4 linked regions of the Lepisosteus oculatus genome follow. The protein of the gene in region 1 binds, or shares a complex with, the protein of each later gene. Links are inferred from orthologs where the notes say so. Each region holds a gene or a part of one and is shown on either strand. Other genes may lie near its edges.

Region 1 (7,642 bases):
TTTATCAAAATTTAACACATTTTAAAGATACAAAGATATTTATTTCCATCTATTTTATCCTTGTGTCAGAATAGCGGCTATATTTGTATCTTTCAGCTTGATGCAGGTATAATGCTAAATAATAAAGTGCATTCTACATGGCAGAAAAGAGCAATTAAGAACTCTACTTTCAATAGTTTTAAACTTTAAGTATACCCATACTGTAGTGTGCACTCATTCCTCTTGGTAGATCAATAAATCATAATTAAACTCCACCAAACCTTTCAGTCAGCATGAATTAAATTGAATCATTGATCATGAAGGTTCAAGTTAAATCACCTTCATTTTAACTTAACCTGCACAAACTGCAATGACATAAACATTGAAACAAACTTTAGTCTATTGAGCCCCTCTGTTATGTTACACATCTAGCATTTTTTGAAAGTGAATATTAGGATTGTTAGATTATATACTGTACTTAGTGAGATTCCCGGCCCTTGTCATATTTAACTTAACATGTTCTTTATAAAATCACTGCCCAGTGATTTTTCCTAACCAGGTAGGGTGAAAAATGCATACTCTTGGTAAAGATAAGCCTTTCAAAGTTATTTAGATCAAAGATAAGACAATGCATTTTTCCATTTCAGCATGGAATAAACCTATTACTTGTTCCATAAAGACAGATGACTTTTTTCACCTCCTTCTTTAAATGCTGTAACTAAATTAAATCAGATACAGTGAAAAGCAGTTTGTTAAAAACAGCAGTCAACCAGAACTGAATATCTTTTTATCTTGAATCCTCTGTGCTAATCTCTAGTTGTTAACAATTATTCCAGCCACTGCATTCTCTTAGGTTAGGGGCTTTATGTAATGTAATGTACTGAACCACAAAGGCTCTTTTCCAGGTGCAATACTCAGGGAAGGTTTTAGAGAAGACAAATTGCAGAAGCTAAAAATGACACTGGAACACATCAAAGAGGATTATTAGATCCTCAGGCAAGAACTTTGGTTCTTTTCTAGGGTCTGAGCCCCTGGGCCTAAAGAGATGATTAGTTTTCCATTTCTCTCCTTCCAGCTTCCCACCCCTTAGTGCTGCATTCATTTAATTTAAAGGAAGCCTTCCTGGGCTGCAGACGAGATATTTTCATAACAAGCTGCTTCAGACAGGGCAGTGCACACGAAGCAGGAGAAACTCATTTTGACATATTGCAATAACCCATTCAGGGGCTATAAAAATCATATTGTAAAACTAAGGATACAGCCAATCAAAATGCATCAACACATTTTGATGGCTTCTCTGATTCTATTATATACACACACACAACATATAGATGTAATATATATATATATTTAGAATTTTGTGGTATCTCCATCCAGAACTGAATCAATAAAGACTGCAGATGATGATATACTGTGCATTTATACTATATACAGTATAGGTTTAATAGCATACTTAGACAGAAATGGCATAGGGAATTTGTATTTTGTATTGCTTCCATTTCTTATTTGTGCTTCTGTTTACATGTATTATTAAACAGTAATTGTGAAGTAAGTTATTCTGAGGCTGCAGCAATGGTTACACTACTCGAAACATCACTGGCATCATCACTATGGTACATTTTAAAGTTACTTCAAGGTTTTCTTTTCTTGGGGATCACTGCAGTATGTCTACAGAAAGACTTTCCCTCTCCTGGACTCCGTGTCGGACTGAGATGTTACCGATGATGTGATCAATCCACAAAAATGAATGCTTAAACCCCTAAAGAAATTAATTAGATATGAGCATCTTGTTTCATAAAAGAAAATTTAAAGTGCAACACAAAAAACAGGACAACAAACTGTAAAATGTAGGCAAAAGAATCAAATGTATTATATTGACGTGTAACAGGCACCATATTTTGAAAAGGCAGTACTGTGTGAGACAAGTGAGTTTTAATATGAGCTCTGAGTATTTCATAGTCTTGATGCAAAGTAGGACAAAGCATTTTGCGATTCAAAGTCTTGTTAAGGGTGCAAAGAATAAATCTGCTTGGAGCACCATAAGAACATAGTTAGGGGTGTAATTCATCAGGACGGTAGAAATAATAAAGGGAAAGTTCCCTGGCATGGCCTATAAAGCAAGAACTATATCTTGAAGTCTATTCAACATTTAACATGAAGGCAGTGTGAAACCTAGTCAGAACTCTGGGTACTGGGTTTTGAACATACTGTAGTGCCTTTAAAAAATGCAAAGGTCAGCTGAAAACAAAGTAACTTCAGCGTGTGCATTAATCATAAATCATAAATATTAATAATAAATGTTCCAGGTACATTACCAGTCCCAGAGCAGATATTTTTAAGTATAGTATTACATACCTTTCTGGAATGAATGTACATATAAATTATGGTCAAAACCATATATTGAATCACAGTCAAGTCAGATGGCTTCAAAGAAATCTTTTTCTATTACCTGAAAATGAAACGTCAAATTAATTCAACATATCAATGTTTCTATAAAGATTTACATTTTCAGAAATTGTAATAGATGTATTATAAAAGAATAAAGCTTTACTGTATATGTCTGTCTTTATAAATACATCTGTCTTTATAGTCATTGGATTATAGCTTATAGTAAAACCAATGTAAAAAAACAATTTGCTAAGCAAAAATCTGAGTTTTAATAATAAATCTCTCCTACATGAATAAGAATTTATGTGAATGATGTTTAAAAGTAGAAAATACATGTGTTTTTCTTTACCCAGGATATATAACGAGTATAAGAACATTACAGACTATATATTATGGGGGGAAAATATTATTCCTTAAATGTATTCTTCAATGTATTCATCCTTAAACGTTAAGCTTCGGTATGAATTCAGAACACAATAATAGAAGCTCACTGAACAAAAAAAAGGTTACTGACATTTGAGTATTCCAAAGAAAATGAGACTTTCAGAAGAAGCCACCCTAGTTTGTCAGATAACGCATGCCCCTTCTTAAATGCGAGAGACGCTCATTTTCTGAAATTAGTGAAAATTCAAGAAACTAAATTGTCGAGGGATGAACGATAAGTACAATGGAATTCAATCACACGCTAATCTTGTTTCTGAAATCCACATCATTGTCTATCCTGTACACTGGATTGGTAATGGCATAGACTCACGAAATTAAATTATCTCCCCTAGAACAAAGGTTACCTGAATGTCTCCTAAAAGTCTATAAAACTGAACACCTTGTCAACTGAGCCATATTCGTTGACATTAAGATAGGCTCCTCGCAATCGTTAGAAAGTGGAGCAAGGTGTCTAGTTCCATTACAGTGCAGGGCAGCAAAACACTCAACATGTAGCAAATGGAATTACAGCGGAGATTTGGATTGGCATTCTGGTTGATGAGTTGGCCATGAACGAAGATTGCAGACTGATCTATTAAGTCCCGCAAAATACATGTCAAATAATTTAATCAAACAAGGGCCTCTTCCTCCCTTTTGTTTATAGGCTTGACAGACATGGAAATTATTTTCATTATCTCTCCGTCTCTCGTTTAAATCAGCATTCTAGTTCGTTTAAACATGCAACATTATGGCCTGCTATACGAAGGATCATTTTATATTGTTCTGCTGCCCTCTAATGTTAATACATTGTGTGTGTTTGTGTGATAAACAGCTGTATAGTATCTGTATAGCATTTATACAGTGCTTTACATATATGGGAGAACGTGCTTCATCTGACCACCTGGATGACGCGTGGTAGCCATTTTATCAGGCAGCCTCACTTCACAGGCAGGTCAGGTCTTAAGAGGTTCAACCTATTTTCGTTGCGAGTATCTCCTTTCAAAAAGATCGTTCCCCGTAAGAAACGCCAGTTTTAGCATCAAATAAAATTTCTATACATGATTGTCATAAATAAAACTCTCTTTAATAATAAGATATTAAAATCGAGTGCTAAACATCAGTTAGATCCATATCTTCAGTCTATTGTTTGTTGTAAGAATTATATAAATATCATGAATGCGATTTATATATATACCTTTTATTTTGTTAACTGAGTATTCTGTCTATAGAAGTCGTTTGGCTAAAGACACCTGACGAGTAATAGTAAAAAAAAGATCATTGTGAAAATGTAATTAACTTATAACAAATAAATAAAAGTATAAATATGTAAAGTAAGAGGGGTTTAGATGGTCAAACAAAATCCCAAATCTGTAATTAGTAACAGGTAACAGTATACAGTATTAATCTACAGAAAACCAAGCAAAATCTAAGTACAAAAAGCAGGATGAACCAAATAGTAATAATTAAACACCACACGCAACTGTTGGCATACCATTTCACTGTAAGAAATATAAAATATATTGGAAGATAAAAATAAAGTGTAATTATTGCTATTTCCATTTTAAAACCAGTTAAACTGCTGTTACTTATATTTTATATGACAAAATTGACATTGGTTCTGTTGATCTGCAGTTCTGATCTTTATATTTCACATTGCACCAAGAGTAACGTTTTTTACAACAACTGAAATCTTCAATTTGACTGTGTTTATTAATCTGTGAGATTTTACTGAGTAACATGTAGGCAAAGTTTAAACCCCCATATTTAGAAGGGGCTTAAAACGACCAGTAGGGGAGCTGTTGTGGTAAATCAGCGCAATCGCAGTTAAGGTTAGACCTTTACCCCGGAAGTTGTTTTGGTTAATGGTGGCGCAGAAATGGCTAGCGTTTCCACAACTCCGGCGTCTAGAAACGCATCAAAGATGGCTAGTTCATCAGCAGGAGCTGCTGGTAGCAGCAGTGGAAGTGGAAGTGGAGGTGGAAATGTAGCCTCCAGTCTGTCTGGGACTGGGGCAACTTCGAGCCTCACCGGGACACTTAACAAGAAGAAGAAACCCTTTCTGGGCATGCCAGCACCCCTGGGATATGTGCCTGGTCTCGGTAGAGGGTAAGATGTGATCCCCGTTCATTGCATCTTAAAAAAAAACATGCAGTTTAGTCTTTTATGTATTTTAGCATTATGGGGTTTGATAAGCTGTCTAGAAATAAGGCCACACAAGTCAAGTTGTTATAAGTTGTGGAAAAGATTTAAATCCATTTCGCTACTTGCAGTAGGCTTTTTTCAGAAAGTACTGCAATTAAAGTTTGTTCCTGAGCTAACGATAGAACCATAAACCTTTGGTTGCTTTGATGTTTTCACTGACGATATTCTAACTATAAAATACTGACGATGTTGCGACTCTAGACGTCTTTGCGACCTTGTGTTAAATGTAAGATTTCATATTATATATATTAATAGTCTATGCGGCTATATTTGTGTAGCCTAGCTTAATTAAATTGTATACATTTTGGATGTTGTGTTTTTGGAAAGGAAGACTACAAGTGTTTTGGATTACAATGGCGAAGTTATTCTCTGTGCTATGTTATCGACCGGACGGCTGTTGTGTTGTTTTCAGTGCCACTGGTTTCACCACCCGGTCTGATATCGGCCCAGCCCGGGATGCCAATGACCCAGTGGACGATCGCCATGCTCCTCCGGGGAAGAGGACCGTGGGGGATCAGATGAAGAAGAACCAGGCAGATGATGATGATGAGGATCTCAATGACACCAACTATGATGAGGTAATAAGCCTTTATGATGAGGAAATCATCAGGCACATCCAAGGCTGTAGCCATTTTTTCTAGAGGCGTCTTTAATTTGAACTGACGGTTTTATGATTTTGTACAATCGCTGTTTTTAAAGCATGTTAATCAACCTTTCTCATATCTCTGCAGTTCAATGGTTATGCTGGTAGTCTGTTCTCAAGTGGGCCCTATGAAAAGGACGATGAGGAAGCAGATGCAATTTACGCTGCTCTTGATAAGAGAATGGATGAAAGGAGGAAAGAGAGAAGGTGGGTCATCATAGATGAAAACGTCATTATTTCATAAAAAAAACAACATTGCTCCTTGTGTGATGTAGTGAATAGCTTTATCATCGCTTGTCTGATCTCTGTTTTCAACAGAGAACAGAGAGAGAAGGAGGAGATTGAGAAATACCGTATGGAGCGTCCAAAAATTCAGCAGCAGTTTTCTGATCTTAAGGTTTGTACAATGATAAGCGTTTCAGAAAATGGTTTTCATTCTCATTACACATGAAATACAATGACAACAGGTATATGTTTCTCTCTACTGTTTGTCGTGTAGTAAGTCTGTCTTTGGACCAAAGCTGGAATCTAACTGAGGCCTCCAGAAATAAATGTGCCGCAAAATTCAGCCACTTTACTTTTGTTGCAAATGTGTATTACATACATCTTTCACTAACAGGGAAGTTCCTTCAACAAGATTATTACCCTTAGGTAATTCAAAAACATCCAAAAAGCATGCAGATCATTGTCATATAAATATATGTGGTAAAAATAGATCACTTAAATGCTATAAGTAGCATGTGTTCACGAAGGCGTGCTGTAATGAGTGTAACGAGTCAAGATTTCTACATCTCCAGAGGAAGCTGGCCGAGGTCACTGAAGAAGAATGGCTGAGTATTCCAGAAGTGGGCGATGCCCGAAATAAACGCCAGAGGAATCCACGCTATGAGAAACTTACGCCTGTACCAGACAGCTTCTTTGCCAAGCACCTCCAGACGGGAGAAAACCATACGTCAGTGGACCCCAGGCAAGGGGTTAGTGTGCTTGTTTTCCTGTTTTCCAAGTTTGTCATGACTTTGTTTTGTTTGATACGCAGTTCAGTGCATCGATTCACGTTTTCAGAAATTTACATCAAGGTGCATTCTCAGAAACAAACATTATATAAATAAACTATAATACAAGCTTCCCTTTTGCCTCTTATGTAAATGGTTGCTATCTAAAGTGAATTTATTCATCAATTTACTGCTAAGTGTAATGTCAAAAATTCTTGGTAATTCCAGAAGGAATAACCAGGGTAGTTGAATGTTTTTTTTTTCGATAAGCCACCCAGCATCTGCCGTGTTTATTTAGAAGAGATGCATTGTAATTTTAAAATGCACCAGTAGATGTCAGTTTAAGAAAACACCCGACAATATATAATGATGTATAGCTTTATAGCCCACAGAAGCGTGAATGCAGAACATTTTTATTTTTCCTCTCAGTGATAGAAACCCCCATGAGATATGTTCTCACTTTAAGCTAATGTTCTCCTAGCCCTCTTTTTCAGCATCTGTTCATTATTCTTCAGCTGTAAGCCTCCAGCTGAGAGTACAAAAATAAGAGTGGAAGACAGGGTTTTTCAAGAACAGTCAGAAAACTGTTTGTTTTTATTTGGATTTTTTTGTCAGCAATTTGGAGGGCTAAATACACCTTTCTCTGGAGGGCTGAACACCCCTTATCCAGGAGCAATGACCCCTGGCCTGATGACCCCAGGAACAGGTGAACTGGACATGAGGAAGATCGGGCAGGCCAGGAACACCCTGATGGACATGAGACTTAGTCAGGTGGGAAAGTATTCCTGTTTCTTTGTTCCTGATTTCTTAGGTTTATGTCATTTCTTATGACATTTAATGACATCTCTTTGGGAAATTAGTCACACTCACTGATTCCAGTTTTTCTAATAAAGCCATGCACCTGATTGCTTTTGCATTTGGTGAATTTCATTACATATCCTTAGAAAAATGTCTGTGTGTCTGTGTTTCACATGTAGTAATTTTGTGTTACCAACCATAGCAGTGTGGAATGTAA
Region 2 (7,901 bases), on another chromosome or scaffold:
AATGCTTCCAGATACAGGGCCCAGCTAAACAGGGCCCCCTGGTGATAAGGAAAGCCACCTGCATTTTATTTATTTACACTCTGCATACGTTAACACTACTTATAAATTTATAACTAACTCAACTTGTGTGCATTAAATATGGAAAGTATGTGATTAGGAACAAGAGTCTAAAACTAACAAATATACAATTTATAGTATTTGTATATTAAGGTTTTTTCTATGCCAAAGTTTACTTCCATTGCAACATTTCAAGATACTGCAGATCAGTATTAATCAAGTCAATTTCACTACACAAGCACACAGCATTAATGTGAGAATGTGAGAATATGTCATATCAATATGTTTGGCACAGCCAAGGTTGTGACTAGGTTGGACAGGGGTAAGGTCCTCAGTGACAGCACCATAAGGTCACAGGTCTCTCCAGTCAATGGTGTTTGTACTGGCAGTTGTACTTTACCCAGCTGACCAACTTCACTAGCACTCTTAGTAACAGCTGCTTGGCACAGCCTAGGATTTAAACCTGTAACCTGCAGTCGATGACACCCTCATGTTTAATAGATTGACGGGACTCTTGTCAATCTGAAATCAAGAGTTTAAACACTGATGCTACCTTACCTCTCCTCTGAGGATACTGTACAGCTCGGGCAGTTCATCCATGGCTGTCCTCTGGTCTGAGATCTATTCTGCTAAACTAATTTGCGGTGTGTGCCTCGACTTCATCTCCTCAGGAAAATTCCTAGGTGAAGTGAAAATAATCCTATTATTCCAAACTATACCTATACATAAAGATACTGGACAAAAAAAAACAGAAACTCTGAATTGTCACTTGACAGGGTGTTGGGCCACCACCTGCAGCCTGTACAGCCTGTATGTGCTAGGACATGGAGTCTACCAGCATTTTGAATTCTGCAGGAGGGATGTGGCGCCATTCTTCAAGGAGAAAGACAGCCAACTCACTCCGGATTGGCAGAGGTGGAAAATGATAACTCAGGCATAGTGCTAGATTATCTCATAACTGCTCACTTGGGGTCCGGTGAGTGAAAAGACCAGAACATGTGGATAACATCAGTGTCTTGCTCAGACCTATGGCCCACCACTCATGCTCTGTGGGTGGAAAGAAGAGCTGCAACACAGGCTGAAGATAAGCACTCAGTACCATTAAGCAGCGATTACCATTGATCTTGCCTTCTAAGGAAATGAGCACACTCAAACCATTCTTGGAAAATGACAAAACCACCAGGACCCAACACAGAACCAAATAATACCCATCTATGAATTGGCCTCATTACTCTCTGCTCTCCTCCCCACTGATAGCTGGTGTGTGGTGAGCGTTCTGGCGCACTATGGCTGCCATCGCATCATCCAGGTGGATGCTGCACATTGGTGGTGGTGGAGGGGAGACCAGAAAAGCGCTATATAAGTGTAAGCAATTATTATTATTATTATCTATCATATCCCATTTCTTCACTGCTCGGCAGTCTAACGCCTGGGCTCGCCAGAGTGCACTGCAACATGGCAGTTGAAATGGGCTGAGATGTGCAGTCAATCGATCTGCAGTTGGACATTACAACCCCGGAATACGCACTTTTCCCACTTTAGACACCGATGCTCTCGAAACATCAGCCCGGCGAGCTGTCAAACGCGCCCAAATATCCACCCCTTTTCCAAAGTCACTGTGGTCCAGTATTTTTAACACTCGCAATCCCAAGCTTACCCAGAGTATTTACATTTTTGTCCACTACCTCAACAATCACACAGGAGCATTTTAGACATCCCAGTTAACCTAGCCAGCATGTCTTATTACAAACTGTTGTAATATAAACCTGCTTCCGAAACGTAGGGACGAGAGTGAAAAGAGTAGCATAACCAAAACTAACTGATCATGCAGCAATAGTGCACAGTACTATTAAACCAAAGGCACATTGCGTCAAACAAACACCATTACATACCAGAACGTCTGCACTTAGCGAAAACAACATTGCAATTTACTGTATTAAATCTTTTGATATAAGACAGAACATACTTCCTGAAGAAAACAAAACTAAGTCACTAACCCACATTCGCATGCCTCAGGAGCTACAAAGAGCGGCAGAGTGCAGTCAGCGCCTGCGTATAACAGGCAGGCTCTACAACCAATACACGGCTCCTTCGCTTTCTGTTCCGGGGTGAGAGTCCGCCTATCGGATTTAAGGGGGCGGGTTATGGCAGTGCGGGCGAACAAGGAAAGGCCCAATTACATAGACGTAAAATAAAAATACTGTAAATATTATCCAATCAGAATCGTCAGTAGCCTGATGTTCTTTTTGCAGACTCTCGCCCTATTGTGTTCGCGGGTGGTAGCTTCGAATACAGGTGATAGGGTGAGAACACGTCGGTTGAGTTTACAAGTTTATTTGATAATAGGGTTTTGATTCGGACTTGAGTAAAAAAATGATGGAGCAGAAGAGATCAAGAAATTAGATGGTGTCCGCGGCTCAGTCCCAGCATCTTAAACAGATACGATTATTGAATTCAAAATACTTCATTCATCCCCAGGGGGTCAATTTAAACAGCAAGCGGTGTAACATGCATCGCGAGTGCAGAAGTAGTTATAAAATCTAGCCAGCAGCCATATCACCCTGCAACTCACAACTGGCAACCCACTGAAACTAAGTGGGTGTGAGCCTGGTCAGTACCTGGATGGGAGACCTCCTGGGAAAAACTAAGGTTGCTGCTGGAAGAGGTGTTAGTGGGCCCAGCAGGGGGTGCTCACCCTGCAGTCCATGTGGGTCTTAATGCCCCGGTATAGTGAGGGGGACACTATACTATAAACAAGCGCCGTCCTTCGGATGAGATGTAAAACCGAGGTCCTGACTCTCTGTGGTCATTAAAAATCCCAGGGTGTTTCTCGAAAAGAGTAGGGGTGTAACCCCGGTGTCCTGGCCAAATTTCCCATTGGCCTTTACCAATCATGGCCTCCTAATAACCCCCCTCTATGAATTGGCTACATTACTCTGCTCTCTTCCCCACTGATAGCTGGTGTGTGGTGAGCGTTCTGGTGCACTATGGTACAGGTGGTGGTGGAGGGGAGTCCCCATTACCTGTAAAGCGCTTTGAGTGGAGTGTCCAGAAAAGCGCAATATAAGTGTATAAGTGTAAGCAATTAATTACACTGACAGAGACTGAAGACCAAGGTTGAAACGGACACTTCCACACAAAGCACTAGGTTGTTTGAAGATTCTATTTTAAATAGTATATATTACAGAAATTACAGACAAATTGGTGGTTTATGCCACAATATACTTTGTTTTTGTCAAGTGTTTTATGTCATGATGCTTGCATTTGTACCCCAAAACACTTGGAAATCTGTGTAGTTTCTAAATAATTGGCACTGATAACCGCTCCTTTTTACTGTCTGGTTTCTATTGCAGTACTTAAAAACAGAACATTTTTTTTCCAGCCACTTTTCTTAATTCAGATTATTTTTCTAAAACTTAATTGCAATGTAAAATACAAATAGTATCATCTACCACGGAGGTGGCAGTTTACTCCAGGGGTTGACCTCTTCGTGGTGCGGTGGCTCTGTAGCTAAGGATTAGCGCCTGTAGCTGGTGGAAGGTTGCCAGTTTATACTGTATCCCGCAGCTGGCAGAAAAATCCTATTCCGTTCGGATCCTGAACAAGGCCCTTAAGCCCTAACTGCTCCAGGGGCGCTCTGACCCCAAGCTTCCCTTCCTGTCTATATCTCCTGGAGAGCAAGCTGGGGTATGCAAAAAGAGAAATCCTAATAAAAGAAATTGTATATGGCCAGTAAAGTGAACATGCACAGGGGTCAATTACTTGTCAAATACTCCCAGGCAGTTAACCGAGATAATTTGACTGTTTGATTAGGCCGTTGACACACTGTAATGAGCACCCCAGCTAAATACCTACATCATAAACCACCAACAAACATTTCCATGCCTATGCTACAAAGAACCTTGCAGCACAAATTCCAACATCCTATAAGCTGACGTAGTAATAATAATAATAATAATAATAATAATAATAATAATAATAATAATAATAAACTTTATTTTATATAGCGCATTTAAAGGTGACTTCTCAAAGTGCTTTACAGAATGACAACAACAGTAAATAAAAAGAATACACAAGATAAAACACAATTTCAATATACAGAGGAGACCATGGATGGTGGTACTAAGAAAAGCAGAGGGGTGAAGAATGGAACCAGTTCAGTAAAGGCTTTTCTAAAGAAGAAGGTTTTGAGTCTGGATTTGAAGGAGCTTAGAGAAGGTGACTCTCTGACATCCTTGGGCAGAGAGTTCCAGAACTTGGGGACATAACAGGAGAAGGCCCTGTCATGTAGACGGGCTTGGGGGACAGTAAGGAGACCAGAATTAGACGAGGGAAGGTTGTGAGGTGGGGAGTAGGGCGATAATAGTTCAGACAGGTACTGAGGTGCCAAGCCATGCAGAGCCTTGTAGGTGAGCATGAGGATTTTAAAGTTCACACGGAATTTGACAGGAAGCCAGTGCAAGGACTCCAGAATAGGAGTAATGTGATCATTTGCACTAGACCTGGTCAGGATTCTGGCTGCTGAATTTTGGACATACTGCAGTTTGTTCAAAGTAGATTTAGATACCCCAGCGAGCAGATCATTATAGTAGTCAATTCGAGAGAACACAAATGTGATCAGCTGTCCGTGCAGCTACGTACACTGTCCATTCAGCTTTTCAGTATAACAGACAGGCATTTCAACCAATACACAGCTACTCTACTTTCGGTTCCGGGGTGAGAGTCCGTCTATCGGACTCTAATGTTAGGCGGCGGGGCGGGTGAAAAATAAGGCGACCAATTACATAAGACGTAAAATAACAACCTCTAAATGTTATCCAATCAGAATCGTCAGTCACCGGAAGTTCTTTCTGCGGATGCTCGCCGCGTTTGTGTTGTTGGGTGCTCTTGGATGTGGTTCGGAGTTTAGCTATTTAGTTGAAAAGGCAACGGTTGTATCGACATATTCATTCGAAAGTAACGTTTTGATTTGAAATTGAGTAAAAAGAAATGATAGAACAGAAGAAGAGGAAGGGAGTAGGGCCAACGGAGATGGCTCTGGTTCCGACGAACAAGAGACCAAGAAATGAGCTGGTGGCCGCGGCTCAGTCCCAGCAGCTCATGCAGATGGTAGGAACTAAAAATACGTTGGCTGAATAATGCGTATAGTTCATTTTATTTTACCGAGCTCTTTGTGTTCTGCGAATTATAGCCTAAACGACACCAACTTGTTATTTACATTCGAGATATGGATGTTTTGACACACTGTACTGTTTTAAATTGAGTTCCGCCTCTTCTTTATTTTTTAATAACACCTGTTATTTGTATTTGAAATCGTGGTTAATATTTGGTAACATCAGTTCATGTTCGTTGAACATTTCAACGGCCTCAGTGCTTGATTTTGCAGTAGTGTTCGTGCAGGTTTTGACCTAAAATTCACCTAAGTTTCATACTAACAAATCATATTTCTGTTTAACAAATCAGATTTATCACAGCAAACAAATTGCTTTATAATCCTAATGCTTAGTCTGAAACTACACTGCATATATAGTATGTGTAAAGTACAATAGACAATTTAAATGTATTAGTTTGTGATCTGATCATTACATCCTGTTTGTGAAACGTTAATTTCTTCTTTGCTTTATATCATTTTTAAAACCGGGCAAAGATTGCAACGCCGAGTCTTCAAAGAAGAAGATGCGAAGGTTGTGACAAAGATGTAGTTTATCGAGGACTCCGGTCCATACACAGGAAGCCTAGTCTTAATTCTAGCTGGGAAAGTTTGTTTTGCCCTGTTTGAAGTTTAAAGATATTTTTTGTTAATGAGAATTCTAAAACATATCTGTAAAAGTACATTCTTAGAATACATTTTGGAATTGGGGAAGGTGTTCAGATGTATATGAAATCGTTTGCTGAACACAGGATTGTGGATGCAAAAGCCTCTCGTCTTAAAGACAGTCCTGCTCAACTGGAGCTGATTAGATTTTATTGTGCTCTTTGCATGAACTTCTGCCCTGAATATTATGGCTAATCTGACTCTGTACCCTCTTGTCTGTGTAATCACAGGGCCCCCCACGAAGTTCCAGTTTGCAGGCTCCTATCATGCTTCTCAGTGGCCATGAGGGAGAGGTCTACTGCTGCAAGTTTCACCCCAATGGGGCCACGCTGGCATCCGCAGGCTACGACAGGCTGATCTGTGAGTACTTGTGATCAGTTTCTTTTCCTGAGGTAATAAAAACACATGTATTAGTTCAGGTGGGTAGCTGCGTCAGCATGCGTAGGCTGCAAAGGAACAAGTAATAGGTTTATTCCGTGCCAGGGAAAAAAGAAGAAAGAAAACAACGTTTCGGCCGTGGCGTTTCGGCTCTTCAGGTGTGAGCAAATCGCATGCATGTTTGGTGTGTTGCGATTGGAGTAGAAGCAAAAGGACACTTAGACTGTGTGGCCAGCCTCTGTTCACCAGACCCCTAAAACAATTCTTTACAAAGTATGAGAGAGTACGACTTCACTCTTGTGTTTCCTAGGAAAGACTCGATTGAATACGATTTGTTCAAGGAATTTGAAAATCTCCTTATTTTTTTTTGATGAAGCAGTTGCATGTCCTTAGGGGTTCAGTACCCAAGATCATTTAAAAACAGTGTGTACAGAACATTCTCGGGCTTAATCTATTTTTCTGCTATTTTTGCTTTCAGTGCTATGGAGTGTTTATGGGGATTGTGACAATTACGCCACTCTGAAAGGCCACAGTGGAGCCGTCATGGAGTTGCATTATAACACAGATGGCAGGTAATGTATATATACCTAAATTGTTTGATTTCTACAAAGGTTCTCCTTAGTTAAATAAGAAGATTGTGTTCATATTAATGGGTTTTTTATTCATAAACGTTATGCAGCAATGTAGTTTAATTCCTCTACTTTTCAACAGTACGTTCTAGGTCCTTTTGTGTTGCTTACTGTATGCTTAGTTGAGAGCTTATTATTACTTTGAATCTGAGCAATCTAGCCTGGCAACATCTCACACATTGGACACCAAAGCTGTGTACTTCAAACAGTAGTTGATCAGCTGACTGCTGTGTGTGATTCTGGATTTAAACTTTATTTAGAAGATTTTAAGGGGCAATAGTACACGGAATCAGATTATTCACATTAATCTGTTACCTGTATCATTATTGTACTTTCAGCATTCCTTTGGTTCTGTTAACATTTCTAGACTGGACACCTCACAGAAATGCTTTAAAAAGACAGTATTATAGTGCAAAATAGAGCTGAAATGTGCCCGAGCTTCATAATCCTGTATAGCTGGGAGAGTGGAATAGCAGGGGGTGATATGCCATAATGATTCCCAGAATGACAGCTGCACAAACACAGCCATAACAGTGCTCTAGACACAACAGCCAGAGCTCACCATACACGGCATGCAGTATAGGTTTGATACAAACCCATATAGAAACACAGAGTTTAAAAGCCCAGCCCTTCTTCGAGCTTTAGCTAAACGTCTGTTTTCTCCTGTAAATCTGGCAGCTAAGGTGCTTACAAGCTACAAAGCAAATCTCTCTCTCCCAAAGTCTTTCCCAAAAATAATCTCTGTTCCAAAAATTATTCTTGTCTTTAAAAACTTTTGTCACTCCAGTGGCCGGTCCTTCAGTCACTTCCTTCTCCTTCTGATGTGGGTTGTGTAGGATTCCCTGCTCTCCTTCTACACAGCAGAGGCAGGTGGCCAACCCGGAAGCATCAGATTCCTAGTTTTAAATGTCACCAACCAATTGTCTTGCTCTGATTGGTCAAGTGATTGAAGATGGCAGTTCATTCCCCACATAACCCTCACTCCACAGCATTCTGGGGAATGTGGTTCAGACAAGAATCTC
Region 3 (7,272 bases), on another chromosome or scaffold:
AAAGGATACTTAGGAAATTACTACTAACATAAGGTTAGCATACAAATGTATCCAAAATAATATTTAAAAAATGTATAACAATCTGTAAAGTATACAAAATTCTACTTTGCACAATTCAATCTTTGTGGGAAAATGAATGTGGCTGCATTCCAAGCACGTAACCGCATGTGCATGATGTGGGAACAAAATCAGGAGGTCCCCGTTTCTACGAGAGCAGCAAAATCAAAAAGGATCGATGTCAGTAAAAACTGAAGTATATTTTGTGGCAGACCAGCAGGATAGAAAGTAGACACATGGGAAAAATGAGACAGACAGACTAGTTGTTGTGGTCAAATCGTGTTCAGGATAATATTGTTTCAATATTGTTACAATAATAAAATAACCAGTTAGTTCACAAGCTAGTACAGTGATCTAGCTTCAGGACAGTTTTTCCTGCGGGTTAGAAGATACGACAAAGAAGATGTATGTATTCTATATGGCATATTATACAGGCAATTAGACGTTTTGGTGCAATTTAGAAAATGACAGGAGAGTTGCAAAGGCAGAAATAATCTGATTTCATGCTGGAAATGACACGCACTGCACAGGTCACCCAGAAGCCAATTGTATTCTCACCTCAACGGATGACCCCAACAATCAATTTGTTAATGTACATGAGTGGAGCTGGTTTTCAGCTATCACCTTATAAGGCAGATTTGAAACTTGCTGAATAAAGATGAAACAACCGAACATCAGAATCATCCAGCCATTTTCTAACTGCCTCTTCCAATTCAGGGTCGCAGGGGAGCCGGGGCCTATCCCAGCAAGCAGCAGGCGCAAGGCGAGGTACAGAACAGCAGACTGCTGCAGGGCAGGCACACAGACACATCTAGGGCCAACTTTCCCAGAAGACAGTTTATTGGACAGGTTTTTGGACTGCAGGAGGAAACTGGAGCACCCAGTGGAAACGTAGGGAGAACACACAAACTCTGTGCATATAGCACCCAAGGGCTGGAATTGAATCCAGGGCCCCAGCACTGAGAAGCAGCAAAGTTATACACTGTGCCACCATGGTGCTCCTACATCAGACTCATATCAAGCTAAAATTGACTTTATTTTTGCAACAATCCAGAAAAACGTTTGTTATTAGTGTTTATACTCCAGTGCAATGTTTTCTGAAATGTTGCAAAAAGGTCAAAAGTCACAATTATACTGCACCTCATACAACAAATAACAGCCTAAAGTTTAGAAGCTATAACTTAAAAAACAACCTTGAAAACACCATAATAGTAAAATGTTAAATATTTTTTAAAAAGTCTAAATACTTACACATTGTCTCCCCTAACAATATATAATCCAAGCACGACTTGTTCAACTCCCTGCGTTGAACTGAACACTCTCTCATGGCTCTCATCAAGAATCAGATTAATGGTCTGATCAAATCCTTTAAGTGTCCCCTAGTAAAAACAGACAGAATGAACTTAGTAAGTTAATTTATACAATTATAATGTAAGTTACCCAGGATACTTCAAGTGTCTGCCAATGGTAACATTCCCTGACATTTTTCATACCAAGATACATAGTTTAAAAACATCCTCACAACATAGCTCAGATGGGTAGAAGCATCAGCATGCGTAGGCAGAAAAGGAACAAGTAATAGGTTTATTCCATGCTAAAAAGAGAAAAAAACAAAGTTTCAGCTGTGGAGAAACACTTACACCCGAAAAGTTGTTTTCTTTCTTCTCTTTTCAGCATGGAATAAACCTATTACTTGTTCCCTCACAATATACTGTAGTGCTTTCTTTGATGCTATATACAGTAGATACTACTATATTACTAGTCCAACCGCAGTAGACCTACCACAATCATTCTTCCATCTGATGTAATAATTGCCACGGTGCCTGTGTTCCAATAGTTAAGGAATAATGCATTGGTATAAAAGTCACAAAATATATATTATTTTAGATCATTACTCCATCTCATCTCTACATGTTCAAGTCCATCTTAGAATTAATGACATCTACTCCTGCTTTGATATATCTCAGGAACTGACTTTTCCTAGCCTGGACATTCAAAGATTTTCGTTCCATATCACGGAACGTCCTCAAAAAACGCTCCAGGTGTCTGGATGTTAAAAGTATGTTTTATTTATACTGGTTTAATTCTGATTGCAATAAAAATGAAGCGCAGAAACTATGAAGCCCCTTACTTTCTCAGACTTTACACACTCACTCACTGGAATCTTTTTCCGTTTTTTTTCCAAAAACGTCTTGAAACCTCAAATACTCTTTTCTAGCTGCTGCACAGCTTAATTTAAAAAGTACTACTTATACGGTCTGCCCTACAATCATGCACAATTAAAGTTTTAACATAAAAACTTAAAATCGGGTAAACTAGGTCTGCAACGGGTATGACATTTAAAAGCTCCAGATTTTGTTATACTGAATTACAATACCTACCCTACCCTAGTTTACCTAAATCTTAAATATGAAATAAAGTAAAACCTTTTGGACTACTATATGTTCATAACGAAGCTTCGTTTTCATTTATTATATTGACTTATTAACATTTTGCTACTGGGAACACTATCTTCAACTAGGTTAACAAAATATTGAATTTTGCAATTAAATTCTAATTTGAATGCGGCACTACGTTCGTGTTCACATCATTACACGGACATCTTTTTTTCCAAGTATTGACCATTAGACCACATTGAGGCTTCTCTGTCGTTTTTATTTTGTGCCTATGTCCGCTAATCACAACGGTGTTGAAAATGCATTCGCTAGGCCCACCCTGACAATTCATAAGCCTTTACAAGCGACAATTCACACACATAAATCTATCACATCTGTCCACTCATTACTTCAGAACTCTAAAAACAAACGGGTTAAGGATACGGTTGATATAACTCTCCAACGCAGTAGACATGATTTTACCAAAAACTCCAGCTTTCGAACAACTGAGCTTGATTTCAAACAGATACTCTCCTCTTAGCTAACAAATCACACACAGCGGAAATAGGAATGATGGGAAACACAGGCCCAACTAGATGTTCACTGATACATCGATGTTGTTGCACGTCACTAAGATTTTTTTCCTACTTTATGAAAAAACAATCCGAGGATCAAAAACATCTACACACAAGAACAATATAATTGTTCTTCTATAACATGGAACATTAATTTCAGGGATTTTAGTTTAACATGTCCGAATAAGATAACAGAATTTAAAATATCATTAATATCTGTGATATCGTTAATATCCAATTAGCTTTCTTATTCTTAACATCTTTTTTGTATTTTAGTGTAATCTTCAATTTCTGTTTTAAACATCTTTATGTTTGGAATTGAAACAATGTATTAATATATAGTTTTTCACAAATTAATAAATTAAGCAGAAATATTTATTTTGCATCCAGGTTTGTGCGTGTGAAATTCAGCTACAATCCCGTTACGACGGGAAAACTCGTAAAGGTTGCTTTTTGCAAGTTGCAAAACACGAAATTTATCAAATTCAGTTTTGAATTTAGATGTCTGATACAAAAACATCTATGCACATTATAACCTTATTGAAGAGACGTACACTTTCTGCAAATTATCATTATTGTTAAAAGATAGAGACCCTGTTTGATAATACATTGTAATAATGTCATGCTTAGATATTCCTAATATAAAGATTACGATAAAGATCTTTTTCCAATATATTAACTCCACCTAAAAAAGATGTTAATTCATTTGTTATGTAATTGTAAACATTTTTATCCCCTGTAAGAAAAGCTATGACTCCTCTAGAGACCGAATCAAAAACTGCATGAAAGTCTCTGAAATGGACATTTAAAGGTTCTCTATGAAGTAATTAACATCATCTCTCAGTAAATATCTCACTAATATAATACCATTTCCATGCCATATTTAGAAAAATACAGTATTTTTAAATATATTTTATATAATTCCCATTAGGATGGCATGGTGGTGCAGTGGTTAACATGGATGCTTCACAGGGCTGGGGTCCTGTCTCCAGTTCCAGGGGAGCTATCTGTATGGAGCTGTGTGTTCTCCACATGTTCACGTGGGTTTCCTCAGAGTGCTCACCTTTCCTCTAAGAGTTCAAAGACATACTGGCAGGTTAATTAGCTTCTGGGACAGCTAGGCATGGCATGAGTGTGTTTCTGTCTGTGTATGTCCTGCAATGGACTAAAGTCCCTTCCAGGTTGTATCCTGCTTTGTGCCCATTTGCTTGCCGATAGACTCCAGCTCCCTCGCAACCCAGTACTGGAAAAAGCAGTTAAAAAATGGATGGATATAATTCCCATTAACAAAGATTAGAATGTTTTCTTTGGGTTTTTTTCTATGATACCTATAAAACATTTATTTACCTCTTCACAAATCTTATTTTCTTAATATGTTACTTTTTGTTTTACTGAGATAACACAAATAATGTTCGAATTACAGTCCTCAATTGTCAAAATTTAAAATTAAACATTATACAGTCACAGTTAGTATTGGCAGAAAAATACCCACCTTAAATCTCACAATACCCATACTGCAAACTTGTGACAAAAGGCCAGATGCATGGCAAGAAGTGGCAGAAAATTCACGTTTTTGGCCTAAATGCAAAGCATTTTATCTGGTACATGCCAAGTATAGCATATCACCCATTCAGCACCATCACAACTGACAAGCACAGTAGTGTCAACATCATGTTATGGGAAAGTGTCTTGTCAGCAAGGACTTGAAGAATTGTGAAGAAAGATGGAAGGCACAAAGACACAGTGAATCCTAGAGAAAACCCTACTTGAGCCACCCAGGAATCTGAAGATGGATGCAAAATTTACATTTCATCAGGAGCAGAGCAAGGACCTGAAACACAAGGCCACACTGAAGCTGTCTGTCAAGAAGACAGTGAATGTCCTTGAAAGGCCCAGTCCAGAATTAAGAAGGACTGACAATGGAATTTTGGAACTGTAAGCCAAAGAAACTGAATGTTTTAGAAATTTTTGAGGTTTTGTTTTGAAGAGTGTCAGAGTGAGACAGGAACTTGATTATGTGGAGTCTCAGGGAGAGACTGAAATACTGTAAACTGAATGTTTTGAAGCCGGTAATAAAGGTGGCTTCTCAAAGCGCTTTACAGAAGGAGAACAACAATAAATAAAAAGAATACACAAGAGGAGACCGTGGATGGTGGTACTAGGAAAAGCAGAGGAGTGAAGAATGGAACCAGTTAATTAACGGCTCTTCTAAAGAAGAAGGTCTGTCTGTATTTGAAGGAGTTTAGAGAAGGTGAATCTCTGAGCTTGGGGTCATAACAGGAGAAAGGCCCTGTCACCCATACAATGTAGACGGGCTTGGGGTACAGTTAGGAGACCAGAATCAGAAGAGCAAAGGTTGCGAGGTGGGGAGTAAGGACATAATAGTTCAAACAGGTACTGAGGTGCCAAGCCATGCAGAGCCTTATAGGTGAGCATGAGGATTTTAAAGCCTACACGGAATTTGACAGGAAGCCAGTGCAAGGACTCCAGGATAGGAGTAATGTGATCACCTGCATTAGACCTGGTCAGGATTCTGTCTGCTGAATTATGGACATACTGCAGTTTGTTCAAAGTAGATTTAGATACCCCAGCGAGTAGAACATTACAGTAGTCAATTCGAGATAACACAAATGTTAGTTGATCATAGCAGCTTAGTTGCCCAATGGGATAGATAGGAATTCAGACAAAAGAACTCAGTCAAAAGATCAAAAAGGAGCTAGGAGAGTTTTGTGTGGTGTTTGGTTGTATTTTTTATTTCCCTTTCTGTAAATAAATAAAAGCATTATTTTTTAACCTTACGGCTGTGTATATGTGTGTCTGTTGTCCTGGACCCACCTATTTTACAGGTCCATTACGACATGCCCAGCAGGTTGTCACATACTGAGAACTTGCTTGTGTTTTTTTCTAATTGTCAATCATAGAGCATTGCACCCTTCAGGTCTAGAATCTTAAAAAGAATGCCAATTAAGTTAGAATGCAAATATAGACCAAAATTAGCATATTAGAATGTCTTTGCTCCAGACCGCAGACAAAAGCCTTTTGAGTTAGCAAATGGGCATTACAATAATCAGGACAAGGGGTTCTGGATGCTCGAACCCATAACTGTGCATCCTTCGTATCCAGGGAAACTGTTGTGTGAACATGTTTAAGAAAATTGAGGCTGCTGATACACTGGCGAATCTGCATAGAAGCTCTGTGATTCAGTTGTGTGAAGGCTCCTGAAAAAGCACCTGAAGGAGGCTCCACAGCCGAAACATAGGGTTTCTTTTTTTTTACTTTCAGCAAGGAATTACCCTTTAGCTGTTCCTTTGAGATTAACTGAAGTGGCAGAACCTCACAGCATACTGCAGAAGGAGTCTTTCCAGTGTAATCCCTGCCAAAGGAGGATTAATAAAATGTTAATAACAGGGCTGTGAATAAATGTGTACCTTTTGTTTTCTAAACATTATAACCAATTTACCTTATTATTTACAAACCTATTAAGGTAACTGTATAACATTTTTATATTTGAAGAAGGCTTCACAGCCGAAACGTTGTGTTTCCTTTCTTCTCTTTTCAGCATGGAACAAACCTATTACTTGTACCTTAACATTTTTATGATTTTTAAGCAAGACACATTGTCCAATCCACAAGTCTCTATGTTGTAGATTGTTTCTATTTTATGAGACCTAAGAATAAAGCTAGAGGGCCTTGTATACAAACCATGACAAAAATCATGTAATATTTTTATAAGGTTCTCCAAGGCCAATTATTATGTCTGTTATGATATTTTCCCCTTTATTCAAATGTGTTTTTTTTAAGTGGCGCTTAACGTTTCATTCCTAAGCTGTTTCAGTTTTTGCTAAAGTGCTGAATGCTTTTTTGATGTTCCTGTAGAAGAGAAACTGGTACAAAAATACAATATTTCATATTTATAGAATAGACATACTGTAGTTATACCACTCACAGTCCAAAAAATGTGGCAAGAATCAACCTAAGATGGTTTAATTTCTTCCAGTTTTGCAAGGAAACAATCACCAAAAAGGTGCAAAGAAATAGCGCTCTTCAGAAGGCTGAATGGTTCATTACAATGGACACTATGAGTACACAAAAGGTCTGAAACAGAACTTAATAAACAAGATTTATTTAGCAGTAGTTGTAGAAGCAACATTATTATTACCTTGAAGAATTCCCACAAAAATCAAAAGATTCTGAAAGACCACATTCAGCCTGGAGTTTAATAGTGAATCAGAGGACCAGGTGGGGTTACCATAGATATGTCACTT
Region 4 (7,863 bases), on another chromosome or scaffold:
CACGCGCACCGAGCCCTGGGGCAGCCCGCTCCACACCGGGACAGAGGGCGGCTTCGGCCGCCAGGAGCCCCTTTGCGGCGAAGCCAGCACCGGCTACAGCAGCTATCCCACAAGGCGAGGGCAGGCAGGCAGGCAGGCAGGCAGCTGCTCTGCTAGGCCTCCCCCCTCCCCCGACTGCCGTGACGTCACCCTCTCCTGTGAGCCGGGGAGGAGCTCCCTCGGACTCGGCAGAGGAAGAGCCGCAGCCAGCTCCCAGCTCGGTGCGCAGCACGCTCGGTGTCCCGCTAACCCAGACCCCGGCCCCCGACGGCCCGCGCGAGCTACCGCTTTGTCAGCGCCACTCGCAGCTTCTCCCCAGAACGGCCCCGTGTTTCACAAAAGCAGCCTCTGCTGCAGGGGAGTGAGAGTGCGGCTCCCGCCGCCCCCGGTGGACAGTCTGCAAACTGCACGGCCCGGCTCCCCGGGGTCAGAGACCCTTCCCCGGGGCACTGCTGGGGCCCTCGTCACCGCAGCAAAAACAAAACCGTCCAGCCTCAACACTCCGCCTGCAAGCTGAGCAAGCAGCACCAGGAACACCACCCCGCTAACTGAATTAGCGCCAGGTAAACGGGCTGAGCCCCGCTCCCAGACTGCAAAGGCATTGTGCTCTTTCTTGCCAGCCTTATCACCTCATTTCAATACACTGTGATCTCCCAGACTGCAGACTGACCCCCGACACCTCGACCCTCGCCTGCCCTGAATTACCCAAACGACCCCTCTGCCAGAGCAACCTGTTGCTTTAAGGGTTAATGATCAATACAAGCCTTCTTGAGCCTTGAAGTGACACCGCCCCACAAAATTAAGGTCAGAGCAGAATACAACAATTGACAATTTACAGGATTTACGCAACAAATAACACAAGGAGATACGGCAGGGCTAGGAGCCCCGTCATTTATATCCTCTGACGGCAAAGCACCAGGTAAGACGTGGCTGCACCTCATCAGTTTCAAGAGGCCTGGCTGTTTAGCAGCGGTCTTTGGGTAACTGCTGGTGGCCGTCTAGCAGTCTTACGGGCCGAGGGAAAAGGCCGTTTTGAAATCCGTCGGTCTCGGTACGTAAACCAGGCCCCGCAGACCGAAACGACACCGCACGTACGAACCCCAACCAACACGCACAGACGGCAAATAAACTCTCAACTAGTTGGGACTGCGCACAAGGATTTCAGTCAGTGTCTGTGCAGCTCACCTGGGGCCGAGCCCCACCCCCACCCGGCAAGACACCCTGCTCTCTCCTGCTGGCCGTTATCGCCCCATTCAAACAACGTCAATGCGCTGGGCTGAGCCCTGCTCCCAGACTCCAAAGGCATTGTGCTCTTTCCTGCCGGCTTTATCACCTTATTTCAATACAGTGTGATCAATTCAATTCAAGGTGCTTTATTAGCATGACCGATGGGTACAATCAGCGTTGCCTTAGCAAATAAAAGTAATGATATTTACATTAAACAAAACAAAAAATTAAAGTAAAATAAAATCTACAGATTCCCAGACTGCAGACTGACCCTCAACACCTCTCATTCTCCTGCCCTGAATTACCCAAACGACCCTTCTGCCAGAGCAACCTGCTGCTTTAAAGGTTAATGATCAATACAAGCCTTCTTGAGCTTGAAGTGAGTGTGTATTAGATTAGTGTGTATGCTCCTTTTGTTGCACCCATGAGAGGAGGAAGCAGGAGCTGGGCAATTGAGCACTGTTTTGTCTCAGTTTGCTTTACTGGACTGTGCTGTTGGGGCCATGGCTGGGAAGGATTCTGCAGGATGAACCGAGTCCGTTTCATAGAGAGATTTCTTGAAAACATTGGTGATGAGTAACCTGTTGCTTCAAGGTTTAATGATCAATAGAAGCCGCCCTGAGTCCTGAAATAACGCCGCCCCACAAAAAGAGCCCCATCAGACCGACTCCAGTGGAACTGGGAACTGGCCCCCTGCCCATGGCGCTGGAGGAGCTGCAATTAAACCAGGCCCGGCAGGGCCCCCCCTCGTCTACTGCACCGCGCACGGCCAGAGACAACGCCTCAAACACACGAACCCCAACCAAAACACGGACAAACGGCAAATAAACTCTCCCCCTCTCTACCAGTTCGGACTGCGCACAAGAATAACAATACCAAACAGAAACCGAGCTAAAAGAGGTCGAAAAAAGAAAACGGTGCAAACTAACGCAACGCCCAACTAAACTGGGTTTTAGTCCCGAGTTAAAACCCGTAAAATTCGGATTCCTACGGATTCCTTCTCTTTTCAGCAGAAAATAAACTTTCCTGTACCTTTGCAGCCTCGCCTGCTGACGCAGCTCCCTGCCTGCACCTCTCGGACGGGACGCGCCGGGTCCAGGGGAGGCCGGGGTCAAGGTCGGGCCCGGGGGCCGTGGGCTCAGGAGCAGCCGAGCCGGGGCCCGCTCCCTCGGCGGCCCGGCCGCAGCAGAACCCGGCCGGGCCGCTGAGCCTCCAGCCCTCCGCCCGGGGAGCTCGGCTTCACCGCGGGTCCAGACTCAAACCAGGCCCGCTGGCGCGGCGGGAGGCCTGGTCACCGAACGCCGCTTGGCGTCTCTCAATTAAATCGTTTTTTTTAAAACTATCGTCCCGCCCGTGGGAGCTGGTTTGTTTATTTGAAGAAACGCGTTTCTTTACCTGTTTTTCGTCCGTCCGTCGAGTCGGCCTCGTCTTCCTCTCCGTCAATATTTTACAATAATTTTAATTACAATTCGCGCTTCCAATTAACTCGACGCCACAGACGATCTCGCTCCACTGCTCTCGCGCACGCCTAGCCCTTCCCACCCTCAGCGCTTCCACGCGAGGCCCGCCCCCCACCGCCAGCCAATAGAGAGCGTCCGTCGGCTCGTCCAGCCAATGGGCAGGGAGCGGGAGGAGGGCTCAGTACCTCTCGGCCTGTGATTGGCCGGTAACAAGCACACCTGCAGGTGTCTCCTGAGCATCTCGAGCCTATCACCTGGATTTATCACGCACTGATATTCAGGACCGCGCCCGGTTTTTACACACGAAAAATAAAAAAAAAAACATGCCTGAAATGTCAACGTGCGCTTTTGACTCCCGAACGAATTTCTTATTTCCGTCCATAACAATTTTGGTCCCCGGAAATGTGGAGGTTCTAGCCTGCAATTCTAAAAAAAACCGTTAGAAATGAGAAAAATAACGTACCCGAAGAGAAAGAAATGTCAGTATCCCCCCTAGTAGCACAGCTGGGTCACGGGGGTGGAAAAACGCCAAACCCGAACCTCTTCCGGCCGCCGAGGAAAAAGAAAATCACGCGTCACCAGTGAAATTTCGTCAGAAGAGCTATCGCCTGCACATATAAACACGATGCTTCAATACATATCTGTCTTCATGGAGACTTGTCAACGCCTGCCCCACCGGTGTTATCCAAGTAGATTTTAAAAGCAGTACTGCGAAAGTATTGCAAAAAAGGTTATTCAAATGATTGAAATGGAGGTCGTTAAAATTCACATGCCCCTCAATTTATAGAGACCTTATTTATAGCATGTTCTGGGAAACAGTACACACAGGAAACACAGGACGACATAGTCATTTTGTGCTGTCATTTTATTTTTTCACGTAAAAGCACCACAAGCCAGCTGCCACAATGTGCCAGCTGACCTCAGGTCAGTAACTGGTAGCCATTGAGATAAGGGCTTCTGTTGCTTCATAATACCAATAAGATCGTTGCTGACAAATTACAATAAACTCACTATTTAATGAAATGATTTTTCTAAAAATATGTTGTTCAATTTGCACTTTATTGTGTTTGTGTTTCCGGCATCAAATATAGTGTAGTAGCTAGTCGGTGATCCTGAATTTTATACTGGTACTCAGCTGAATCCAGATTTCACTTCTAACATTTGAATATAGAATTGTCATATGAACTGTCTTCTTTATGGAACAAAGGTTGGGAACGTGAATTAAATTCCTCATTTCAGTTTTAAATATAAACACAGATTTATTTTAAATATGAGTTGTGCCGCTTATAAATTATGAAGTATAGCATGACACCTCTATGTAGTAAAATATGCAGCGCTTTAAAAACTAGAATTTAAGCACCTTTTACCCTTTTTACTTCTGTTTTACCTGTTAACAGGTAATATGTTTGAGCTAAAAGATAACACTCTTTTCCCTCGGGTATCATTTCGAATACTATTTACAACTCTTGTCTATAAGAATTTTATGTCCTGTGGTTAGAAAATTATGGATTGATCTGCAAAGTGATATAAAGAAAGGCTTCTGATATTGACGTTACCTTGAAAGAAATAGATAGTCACGTTCATTTTTAATCTCATTGAAAATAAAATGAAAATATCCTTTGGCAGTGACTGAATCATTGTATTTGCACGTTATTATGGATGCAGGTGGATGCTGCACATTGGTGGAGGTTGAGGGGTCCAGAAAAGCGCTATATAAGTGTAAGCAATTATTATTAATTATTATTATTATTATTATGCACAGAAAATGAAATGGTCTGGGAAGAGACCCGCGGTTGAGCAGTGTGAAATAAACCGTATCCACAGATTATTTCTGATTATTTATGTGAGAACACGAAAGCAGGGCGGGCTTCATCTTGATTCACCTTGGTTAATCCTTTTTTGTAAAGTGCAGTTGTCTTACTGCATGTACCCCTGGCGATGTTATTGGTGTACTCTTGTCTGTATTATATGCGTTGTTGTTGTTGCAAGAACAAAAACAGTTTGTTGTAAACTGCTGCGCTCTTGCGGTGCTGTAGCGGAATCCGGCAGGGGGCGCTCGCACATTTAAGCCGCCCGTCTTGTCTCCTTGACCCGGAAATATATTCGTGTGTGGGTGCGCGTGGGGGGGAAGGGGAGGGGTGAAAGGTTATTACTGCGTTCGAGCGTCGAGACGGTTGTTGCGTTGCTGTCGGTGTTTTCGATCGTGGAAAAGACATTTTTGGGGGTTGTTAAAAAAAAGAGAACTCTCTAGCGCCAGGGATTGTCTACGCCGTTGGCGAGTGGGCTTTGTTTCGATAGTTTACTCGCCTGTGGCTTTTTCCCTGTTTGTATTTTTACCCTCCTGCGCTCGCTGACGGGATGCGCTCCTCCAAGAAACACAAGGAGAAGGACCGGGACCGGGACACGGAGGACCGGCACCGCGAGCACAGGAAGCACAAGCACAAGGAGAAGGACAAGGACCGGGAGCGGGAGCGGGATGGCGCCAAGGACCGGGAGAAGAGGAAGCGCTCCCGGTCCCGGGAGCGGGAGCGGGGCCGGGGCTCCGAGAGGGAGGGCCGGGGCAAGGCCGACAAGAGCGGCGCCGAGCCGCGGGTGAAGAAGGAGAAGACGGACGCCGGGTACGAGGAAGGTGCGTCGGTTAACGACTTCGGACGAGAAAAAAGCTGCAGCTCTCTCCCTTTTTTTTTAAAAAAAAAAGTTCCTTCTCAAAGTAATAGCTGTGCGTGTATGTGTAATAATAATAAACGTACGTAGCGCCTTTAGAAGTGGGTTCTCAAAGCGCTTCACAGAATAACAGCGACAGGATGTAAATATGCAGGGGGACAGGAAGAGGTTTATTCCGAGACGCGGAGAAAAGAGACGCAGGGTTTCGGCCGTGGAGCCTTTTTCAGGCGCGTCAAGTCCCTACAACCCAATACCTTGCGTCTCTTTTCTTGTCCTCCCAGCAGGGAATAACCCCTTTACCTGTTCCTCTGCAGCACCGCGCTTGCAGACGCAGCTCGATCCTCGAAGGTGCGGTGAAAACCGCAGTAATGGTCACGGTTGGTAGCGGTTCGGACCCGTCGCTGTGCTCCGTGAGAGTCTGGTTTTGTAACACTCCAGAAAACGCGAGAAAGCGGCTCATCTCCCCTCCCTGGCCACGGCTTCATCAGCACAAGAGCCTCACTCAGCTGGTGAAACCTGGAGTGGATCAGACTGCTGTGCAATGGGAATCACGAACACTGTGTGTTGTAATGCTGTGCCAGCCAGCCAGCAATCCAGTCAGTTAGCAGTGGCAGCCCCACTGGAGCCCAGCAGGGTGAGCCTGGCCAGTACCTGGAGGGGAGACTCCTGGGAGAGCTGAGGCTGCTGCTGGAAGAGGTGTTAGTGGGGCCAGCAGGGGTTGCTCACCCTGCGGTCTGTGTGGGTCCTAATGCCCCAGTATAGTGATAAGGACACTGCACTGTAAAATAGTCGCCGTCCTCCGGATGAGATGTAAAACCGAGGTCCTGACTCTCTGTGGTCATTAAAAATCCCAGGGTGTCTCTCGAGAAGAGTAGGGGTGTTACCCCAGTGTCCTGGCCAAATTCCCCCCTGGCCTGTACCCATCATGGCCTCCTAATAATCCCCCTCTCTTTACTGGCTCCATCACTCTGCTCTCCTCCCCACTGAGAGCTGGGGTGTGGGGAGCGGACTGGTGCATCACCCAGGTGGGGGTGGAGGGGATCCCCATGACCTGTCCTGGAGCCTCCACTCAGAGCTCTGTAAAGAGCTATCGAATAGTAAGGACTGTTATTTATTGTTGTTGTTCTTGCTCATCTGTGTCATTTCTGGCGATGTTAACGCGCTCTGAACTGTCTCCGTGCAGCGGCTGGTCCAAAGTCTGCCTCCGGGGATGCCTCTCTCAGCATCGAGGAAACAAAGTAAGTGAGCAAGGGCGGTTTAACAGTGATGGGGAGGGGGGGGTGATGTTATCCGGGGAAATGGATCGGATCACAGGGTTTGCCAGCAGGAGTACCTCTGTACACACTTCCATCGTGACAGTCTGTAATTGTGTCAGGAAAACCATTCACTCCAGTCTGGTTGTTCTTTTCCCCCTCTAGTAAGCTGAGGGCCAAGTTGGGTCTGAAGCCTCTGGAGCTGAATGAGAATAAGAAGGGTAAGTGTTGTGTGTGGGCTTGGGGCTACATTTAGTCCTGTAGGTCACCCTGAATCACGGGTCTCCAGTCCCAGTCCTGGGGATCCCCAATCCAGCGTGTCTTACAGGTCACCCTGAATCAGGGGTCTCTGGCTCTGGTCCTGGGGAGCCCCAATCCAGCGTGTCTTACAGGTCACCCTGAATCAGGGGTCTCCAGCCCTGGTCCTGGGGAGCCCCAATCCAGCGTGTCTTACAGGTCACCCTGAATCAGGGGTCTCCAGCCCTGGTCCTGGGGAGCCCCAGTCCAGCGTGTCTTACAGGTCACCCTGAATCAGGGGTCTCCAGCCCTGGTCCTGGGGAGCCCCAGTCCAGCGTGTCTTACAGGTCACCCTGAATCAGGGGTCTCCAGTCCCAGTCCTGGGGAGCCCCAGTCCAGTGTGTCTTACAGGTCACCCTGAATCAGGGGTCTCCAGTCCCAGTCCTGGAGTCTTATAGGCTAGTTTGGAAGAAACTGTCCCACTGTGCTGTGCTGGCAGCTGACGCTCCTGGGTCTTGCCAACCTGCAGTTTGAGGCAGTTAATTGTCTTCTGGGGAAAATTGCCCCTTGTGTGTCTGTGTGTGCCTTCTGCGGTGTATCCCGCCCTGTGCCCACTGCTTGCTGGGATAGACTCTGGCTCCCCGTTAGGAAATGGGTGGGTGAACAGCAGATGACGCCAAGAGCATCTCTGCTGGGATTCGAACCCACAGCCATTTAGAAATCCAGAACCATAGCGCAGGAGCTGACCTGGGTCCCCGGATCCCAGGTGTTTCCTGAAGGATCCCGGAGCCTCCATCCAGTGGCATAGCTGGGCAGTTTCACGCCCCGCACTGCTCCGACGCCCGAAACGCCTCCCATTGGCCCTTTCCTAAACGCACAAGTGTCCAAGTCCACCTGGCTTCTCTGAGAGCCCTCTCTCTCTCCCCCCCCCGATCCTGGTGGGCTCAGAGCTGGGCACGAAGGAGGAGCCTCTGGTCGCTGAG

The links.
Region 2: prpf6 (region 1) and snrnp40 share a complex: the UniProt entries of both Homo sapiens proteins name them as parts of the U4/U6-U5 tri-snRNP complex. The link is inferred for Lepisosteus oculatus from reciprocal best matches to the Homo sapiens genes PRPF6 and SNRNP40.
Region 3: prpf6 (region 1) and lsm8 share a complex: the UniProt entries of both Homo sapiens proteins name them as parts of the U4/U6-U5 tri-snRNP complex. The link is inferred for Lepisosteus oculatus from reciprocal best matches to the Homo sapiens genes PRPF6 and LSM8.
Region 4: prpf6 (region 1) and sart1 share a complex: the UniProt entries of both Homo sapiens proteins name them as parts of the U4/U6-U5 tri-snRNP complex. The link is inferred for Lepisosteus oculatus from reciprocal best matches to the Homo sapiens genes PRPF6 and SART1.

What each region holds. Positions count from the first base shown.
Region 1 is NC_090711.1:6,106,552-6,114,193, forward strand, and holds the start of prpf6 (pre-mRNA-processing factor 6), read left to right. Parts: upstream 1-4,632; 5' UTR 4,633-4,666; coding exon 4,667-4,896; intron 4,897-5,404; coding exon 5,405-5,570; intron 5,571-5,723; coding exon 5,724-5,842; intron 5,843-5,953; coding exon 5,954-6,032; intron 6,033-6,432; coding exon 6,433-6,609; intron 6,610-7,242; coding exon 7,243-7,398; intron 7,399-7,642. UniProt on the Homo sapiens protein: Involved in pre-mRNA splicing as component of the U4/U6-U5 tri-snRNP complex, one of the building blocks of the spliceosome.
Region 2 is NC_090706.1:10,109,691-10,117,591, reverse strand, and holds the start of snrnp40 (U5 small nuclear ribonucleoprotein 40 kDa protein), read left to right. Parts: upstream 1-4,894; 5' UTR 4,895-5,046; coding exon 5,047-5,166; intron 5,167-6,102; coding exon 6,103-6,232; intron 6,233-6,728; coding exon 6,729-6,822; intron 6,823-7,901. Other genes in the region: zcchc17 (zinc finger CCHC domain-containing protein 17), read right to left, coding at 616-657. UniProt on the Homo sapiens protein: Required for pre-mRNA splicing as component of the activated spliceosome. Component of the U5 small nuclear ribonucleoprotein (snRNP) complex and the U4/U6-U5 tri-snRNP complex, building blocks of the spliceosome.
Region 3 is NC_090702.1:45,582,551-45,589,822, reverse strand, and holds the start of lsm8 (LSM8 homolog, U6 small nuclear RNA associated), read right to left. Parts: upstream 3,012-7,272; 5' UTR 2,908-3,011; coding exon 2,877-2,907; intron 1,881-2,876; coding exon 1,840-1,880; intron 1,437-1,839; coding exon 1,309-1,436; intron 1-1,308. UniProt on the Homo sapiens protein: Plays a role in pre-mRNA splicing as component of the U4/U6-U5 tri-snRNP complex that is involved in spliceosome assembly, and as component of the precatalytic spliceosome (spliceosome B complex).
Region 4 is NC_090713.1:22,042,472-22,050,334, reverse strand, and holds the start of sart1 (U4/U6.U5 tri-snRNP-associated protein 1), read left to right. Parts: upstream 1-4,858; 5' UTR 4,859-5,084; coding exon 5,085-5,355; intron 5,356-6,573; coding exon 6,574-6,628; intron 6,629-6,808; coding exon 6,809-6,864; intron 6,865-7,828; coding exon 7,829-7,863. Other genes in the region: collagen, type I, alpha 1b-like, read left to right, coding at 1-114, 203-330, 2,307-2,556, 2,799-2,925. UniProt on the Homo sapiens protein: Plays a role in mRNA splicing as a component of the U4/U6-U5 tri-snRNP, one of the building blocks of the spliceosome. May also bind to DNA.